2 linked regions of the Bombyx mori genome follow. The protein of the gene in region 2 purifies or fractionates together with the protein of the main gene of each other region. This does not show direct contact. Links are inferred from orthologs where the notes say so. Each region holds a gene or a part of one and is shown on either strand. Other genes may lie near its edges.

Region 1 (3,657 bases), on a different chromosome or scaffold from region 2:
GAGACATAAGATTACTCTTTAGTCATATCGGAAGATCTGGTTTCAAGTGTTCACCGGATCCCGTAGTCATATCATAACGTGCATAACGCTACCCACCATGAGGCTTGAGGTCAAACTCTCAATATTGTCTAACGGCGGTACGAAACCCGAAACGCGTTAGTGCATTTTTATGCGAGTTAATATACATTAATTAGATGGCGTTGCTGGGTTTATTTACTTGTCTTCATCACATTTAAATCATCAATCATCTTATTAGGTACATATTTTTACCTATCTTCTGTTTCATTCTAAACATTGAGATTGTACATGCACCATACAAAATATTTTTCACATGTTTAATAAAGCACAATCTGGTACCAGTAACAGACTACTACACATCACCAGCTAGTACCGCCCTTCAATAACAGATGGCGTTAGCATGCCTTAATTAGACGCCTTCAGCTCTAACACTAGGAGCAGACTGAGGGACCCCGGTAACCGTATTCGTCGAACTCGACAAAGAGTTCGCCGTGCAACCTAACCCATGCATCAGCCCGTCGAGTTTCTCGCCGGATCTTCTCAGCGGGTCGCGATTCCGATCCGGTAGTAGATTCATTAGCAAAGCAGCTGCTCTTGAGTTGTTAGGTCTCCTTCGGAGGCGCTCGGGCAGCTGTTAGCAAATCCTACCTCTCCTGGCTGAGCCCTTGCTCGCCCACCTGTCCTGGTGAAACCGAAAAGAGCCCGGAGGAATTTCCAGTAATCCTTTGTTCATAAAAAAATGGCGTTAGCTGTAGGTTCATACAAATATCCATGCACGTTTGCGTCCCTCTGTACCTAATAATTGTTTTTTGTTATATCTTTCAGATAGTATCGAAGGGCAGCGATCAGGTGGCCATATCGTCCAAGTACGAGACGAGAGAGGACGTCGCCGTCATAAGGAACTACGGGCAGCTGCTGGTCGAGGTACCGTTCTCGTACTGCGCCGCCGCTTATAGTCATATGGATCTTGCACATGTCCACGAAAGACTCCTGCGATATGGCGACCATGTCACTTTTTTATTGCTTAGATGTGTGGGCGAACTTAAAGCCCACTGGTATTAAGAGCCCATAGACATCTGCAACGTAAATGCTGCCACTCACCTTGAGATATGAGTTCTAAGGTCTCAGTTTTTACAGTACAAACGCACCCCGCTGAAATGAGTTCTTTATATAATTATCGTCTCAGTTTGATTGTTACTCACTTAACAACGGATGGTCACAATTACAATGCCTATAGACAGTTTCGTCTAAACATAGACGCTCGCGTACCTGTCTTTGATATTAAATTTAACCACTTCTCATCGTCTTGAGAACAATCAAAACAATAAACCTCAATCTTACCGTTGTCTTCACCTACAACAATGCCGTCCTTATAAAACGGCACACAATATCTGAATATTATTATCTGTATATTTATAGGTGAAGCAAAAACTTTGTACCCCTTTTTATGAAAATTTTGCGGAGTAGTATGAAATATCTCACACTCATAGAGAATATTGTTACGCGCTGGGGTTCGGGATAAATAAAAATTCTACGGTAGTACAAATTAGCACTTAAATCACTTTAAAATTTTCAATTTACTTCTTTCGCTTCGCTTCAGCTGATCCGTTCGCTGTTTCGCTTCGAGTAGATTCGATTAACAAACTGATCCATGTCATCACTGCCGGCGATACGACATCCCTAGAATTATTGAAAACATCCCTCACAAGTCAGGTATTTTCAATATGCGTTTCTGCTGTCTGACAACAGATGGCGTTGCACTTCTCGATCGTTCTACATTTTACTGGTTCTTTTGATATTCGTTTCTGCTGTTCGACGATAGATGGCGTTACTCTTACCGGCGTAACAATATAGAGGAGCGCACTTTTTTTTATTGCTTAGATGGGTGGATGAGCTCACAGCCCACCTGGCGTTAAGTTTAATATTATTTATCTATAGTGTAGTGTACAACTGGGAAACCATTAGTACTGTTACGCCGGTAAGAGTAACGCCATCTATCGCCGAATAGTCGAACGAATATCGAAGGATCTAGTAACATCTAGAACGCTCGAGAAGTACAACGTCATCTATTGCCAGATAACGGAAATACACAATACTAGACTTTTGTGAAATATTCTCGACGATTCTCGGGATTTCGGCTCGACTATAAAAGCGTTGCAGAGATGCCTTCAGACACAGTCCACTGAGTTTCTCGCCTGATCTTCTCAGTGGGTTACAATTCCGATTCGGCTCGCTAGCTAGGGCTCATGTTAGAAATGTTGTCAGGTTTGAGCCCCGTGAGCTCACCTACTAGTTAAGGCTACGCTGATATAGCCTCTCAAGGCTCTCAGCTTAGGTAGGAAAAAAAAACACGCAGTCAGTAATCGGAACAGCGAAAGGATCACCAGAAGCGAAGCGGAAGAAGCGAATTGAGAGTTTTAAAGCGTTTGTTAAGTGTTTTAAGTGTTCTAAGTGCTAATATAGTGTTAACTTGTAATTCGGTAGAATTTTATTTATCCCGAATCCCAGCGCGTAACGGTACTTATAAATGAGTGTTAGTAAATATATGTTCTCTCATCTACAGATGTCGGCGTGCGTGCCTGACGGCGTGGTGTGCTTCTTCACGTCGTACCTGTATCTGGAGAGCGTCGTGGGGGCCTGGTACGACCAGGGTGAGCGGAAACTCGGCCACATAAACACGATGCAGCGTGATGTCCGCGGGCCCCTCTCGTAACAAATGTAACGCGTGTGCAGGTGTAGTCGCGAGTCTGCAGCGACACAAGCTGCTGTTCATCGAGACGCAAGACTCCGCCGAGACGAGCTTCGCCCTCATCAACTACATCAAGGCAAGTGGCGCCGCCGCCCCACCAGCGGGACCCTTACATATAGAGCATCACTAGTTACTGTCAGAAATTTTAAGGATGATTAATTATACTCGTGAAGCAGTAATGCGTTCCGGTGTGAAGGGGGGGGGGGGGGGGCGTTTAACTATACTGAGACCTTAGAACTCATATCTCAAGGAGGGTTGCGCATTTACGTTGTAGATGTCTATGGGCTCCAGTAACCACTTAACACCAGGTGGGCTGTGACTTCGTCCACCCATCTAAGCAATAAAAAGGATTGTGTGTTTTATGAAACCACGCTAAAAGTGAAACTTTTTTTTTCACATTATAGACATTTAACTCTGACAAACACCATTTACATTAAACACTGACAAAAACAAACAATAGCGTGGATCACTGGCACAAATGAGTAATAGTCTATACACTACACGGTCAGCTGCTGCGAACTATAGGCGCCGCCATATTGGCCTTGGCTGCTCTGACGAGCGCCTTTCACTTTATCCCTACTCCGCGGCCGACCGTCACGCGACATGCAACACACAGACGGAAAAGTTTGAGACGATGTAATAAAAGTTTCACTTTAAAATCTAACTTTACACCAGTGTGCTTAGTGCGAGTTTTTAACGTTCTCGATAGCGTAAAAGTTAACTCGAATTTGTATGGAGTTGGAACGTTTGCGTACGTTTGCCGCTAGAGGCGCTGTTCCAACTGCATACTAAATTGGGTTAACTTTTACGCTATGTTAAAAAACTCGCACTAACCACACTGAGCCAAATATGTATTTATAACAGACTTCGTAGTGCCTCCATCGATAAAT
Region 2 (3,757 bases):
TATGGATTGTATTCATCATTTCGGTCCATATAAATAATTATATGGCACCTACCTATATATCGCAGTACTGCGAGTTGACAACCCTTACAAATATCCCAATTCAACCCTTAACCGTGTCAATTTACCCCGGACGCTGGGTAAATTGGGACGGCCATTATTTTACCGATTATTTCTTTAAAATGAATAATTAAAATAATGAAACGGTTTTTATCACCTAGGTACGTTCAAGACTCAACTTATTTCTTTGGTTGAGCAGTGACTATTTAATTGGAACTATTTTAAAATTCAATCTGAAGGTCGATTTTGTCCTTATTTACCCCATTGTACGGTATTGCTTTCTACAATGATTCAAACTATAGTTTAGTTTAGATAACGATAGTTTTGAATTGTTTATTTTTAGGTTTTCTTTTATTTATTGCTATGTATTTAAAACATCGCAGTGAAATCAACATATTTTGTTGTTTGCGTGGTTCAAAAGTTCGAAAATATGATATCGTTTATGTAGAACTAGATTAAGTAAACTAAAGCAGTTTTTTTTTTCCTACCTAAGCTGATTAGGGGCTATTTCAGCGTAACCGTGGCTAGTAGGTGAGCTCACGGGGCTCAAACCTGATGACGATGCTAACACGAACCCTAGCAAGAGCCGTGCTTCGCAGAATCTACCACCGGATCGGAAACGCGACCCACTGAGAAGATCCGGCGAGAAACTCAGTGGGCTGTGTCTGAGAGTTAATTTACTCGTCGAGCCCTTCGTCGCGAGCGACGGGTTCGACGAGAACGGTGACCGGTGCTTGAAGTACCTAAAAGCACCGTTAGTGGATCGGGAGGATCCGAGATGACGTGTTTTGGGCGACGTCGACTGCTTCCCATTCTGTCCGCAGGATCGGGAATGTAGTTACTGGCGGCCACGATGAGAGGGTTCTCGTGTCGTGCCGCTTTATCGAAGTGGACACCCAAGGGCTTCCTAATGCTGTATAAAGTAGGTAACATATATTTGACGGCGATAGTTAGAGGCAGCAGGATTAACTGGCTGGGTACACAATCGGCTTGTTGCAGTGGACCTTTGAGCAATTAACGTACGGAAGAGGAAGCTGGAAGCAGTAAATATGAAAATGCTTGTTTATGCCACTATTGCGTCGGCGCACCAATCTAGAAGTAGTGCTCATGTAATTCACTGTTCTTGTAGAGATAGAGCCAAGAACCCTAGTCTGTGTAATGAACTACACCCTGAGCCAAAAAAAAATCTGGGCCAACATCTGTAGCATTATTGGTTTGAAGACTAAATATTTATTTAAATGATAAATAAAACACGAGGAACGACAATCTACTTCAGTTTCAAAATCGATGCTATCAAAAGATTTGTTCTCCGTTTATTCCATGCAATCTCAGCTCCAGTAAAATTATAACATAGATTAATTATTTATCGAAAAAACCAGAGTCAGTACTTTTTGGCCACCTAGACTTGCAAAGGAACTTTTTGCATCTAGTTTATTTGGTATGAAATGGTTATTGCTTCTTGCAGACGTTGGTATTAGATAGTTTGAAAAATTGTGTCGAAGTCGTTTATCTAGTATCCTATATTTAGTCCGGAATGTATTCAGAAACCTTTATAAGTGAAATATGTCTAACCTAAAATGCTAAAAATTAAAATAGATTAATCATATAGGGCTAGACTTATTTCAGGGTTCGGTAACCACAAACTGGCAAAGGTAATATGGGATGCGCCTCGCTTATTTGGAATAACAATTTACCGGAGGCGGCCAACAAGAAACAAAAGCTCAAAATTAAAAATGTCAATAGCTTATGTCACCTTAAATGTCAAACTTTTAACGATAGTCGCAAATTTCTGAATTTGAAGATTTTACAATCCGCTTTTAGTTTCCAAGTAAAATATGTTTTCTACCAGCTCTCAAAGAAAATTTTGGACGTTCAGTGATGAAAATGAACTCGCACGCTTACGTGAAAAACACAATTATTTTTTTTACGCGAGACAGAACTCGCACATCGACGAGCAACAACGTTTCACGTATTTCTTGTCTCCTGATGAAGAACGACAACTTTTAAAGCAATACGAACTCCATCTGAAAGAATTCTGCAAGAGATTCACACCTCCAATGCCCAAAGGGGTGGTGGGCACAGCCTTTCATTACTTTAAACGATTTTATCTATACAACTCGACAATGGACTATCATCCAAAAGAAATTTTAGCCACTTGCGTGTATTTAGCGTGTAAAGTTGAAGAATTTAACGTTTCTATCGGGCAATTCGTCGCCAATATCAAAGGAGATCGAGAAAAAGCATCAGATATAATACTAAACAATGAATTATTGCTAATGCAACAATTAAACTACCATTTGACCATACATAATCCTTTCAGACCAGTAGAAGGATTCCTAATAGACATTAAAACTAGATGTTCATTGGCTAATCCTGAACGTCTTCGTAGTGGTATTGATGAGTTCCTAGAAAAGGTGTTCTTAACTGATGCATGCTTGTTGTATGCTCCGTCACAAATTGCTTTAGCTGCAGTACTCCATGCAGCGAGCAAGGAACAAGAGAACTTGGATAGCTACGTGACAGACATACTCTTCAGAGATGCGGGACGTGATAAATTGGCGATACTTATTGAAGCTGTAAGAAAGATTCGATCATTAGTAAAAATGGTAGAGGCACCAGCTAGAGAACGAGTACGGCTTATAGAGAAGAAATTAGACAAATGTCGGAACCAAGAAAATAACCCTGACAGTGAGATTTACAAGCGTCGGATGAGAGAGCTGCTAGACGAAGACGATGTTTTACATGTAGGATCCAGTAGAATGTCTTTAGATACAAGTGGAGTTACACAAGTTCTATCACCTTCTGCCTCTTAAATAAAAGAAATAAAAGTTGACCTAATATTAATTAAAATAAAAATGTAGATAAGATTATTGACTGTAAATTTAAATAAAGTAATTCTTAAGTAGGATTTAAAATAACTAAGTACACCTTTCATGATATTTTATGTATGCTGTTTTTGCAACAAAAGAATCCTGTATTTCTGTAATGTGTGCTAGAACGGGATGAACTATGGTAGAACTTGTAAGTTCGGTGTCATGAAAGCAATATACTATGTAGTCACCTTAAGTATATTTGAAGTTTAGCCTAGGACTTATGGTTGTACTTACCATTATCTTGTATTAAATCTGTTCTGATCTATTGCAAACTGCAGGTCTCAAAAGCTTTTTCTACACACACTAAAAAACAAATACTTATGACCTTAGTTAAAGAAAATGGATGTGGTTAGTTTATATTTATTGCTTAGATGGGTGGATAAGCTTCAACCCACTTGGTGCTATATGGTTACTGGAGCCCATAGACATCTACAATGTAAATGTTGCTACCCACCTTGAGACGAGCTCTAAGGTCTCCGTTTTAACAGTACAACAGATGCCCCACCCTTACTGCTTCACAGCGCAAATAGGCACAGTTGCACATACCTATACGGACTCACAAGACTGCCACTAATATTATTTTATAATCTGTAGAGTCTCCCTTGACTTTACAATAATCAAATCCTCTCTCAGCAGTTGCGTTTTGATGCGCTGTCAAGCCAATGTCCATTATGTTAACCAGCCACCAGATTGTGATTGGCCAGAATGTAAACAAAATCAATAATTAACTGACGTAAATAATATTTGAACCAACTCTAATTGTATGTATCTAATTAATTATGTATTACTAATAAACGAAAGTAAGATTGGTTGGAAGAAAACTAGTT

What was found.
Region 1: the proteins of cyclin-H (region 2) and general transcription and DNA repair factor IIH helicase subunit XPD purify together in Homo sapiens (affinity purification with mass spectrometry; 3 studies listed by BioGRID and IntAct, counting the BioPlex papers as one, with this or other methods). This does not show direct contact. The link is inferred for Bombyx mori from reciprocal best matches to the Homo sapiens genes CCNH and ERCC2.

Annotation. Positions count from the first base shown.
Region 1 is NC_085127.1:13,513,859-13,517,515, forward strand, and holds part of general transcription and DNA repair factor IIH helicase subunit XPD, read left to right. Parts: intron 1-843; coding exon 844-942; intron 943-2,581; coding exon 2,582-2,669; intron 2,670-2,751; coding exon 2,752-2,843; intron 2,844-3,657. UniProt on the Homo sapiens protein: ATP-dependent 5'-3' DNA helicase. Component of the general transcription and DNA repair factor IIH (TFIIH) core complex, not absolutely essential for minimal transcription in vitro.
Region 2 is NC_085113.1:12,695,687-12,699,443, reverse strand, and holds cyclin-H, read left to right. Parts: upstream 1-1,439; 5' UTR 1,440-1,892; coding exon 1,893-2,870; 3' UTR 2,871-3,751; downstream 3,752-3,757. UniProt on the Homo sapiens protein: Regulates CDK7, the catalytic subunit of the CDK-activating kinase (CAK) enzymatic complex. CAK activates the cyclin-associated kinases CDK1, CDK2, CDK4 and CDK6 by threonine phosphorylation.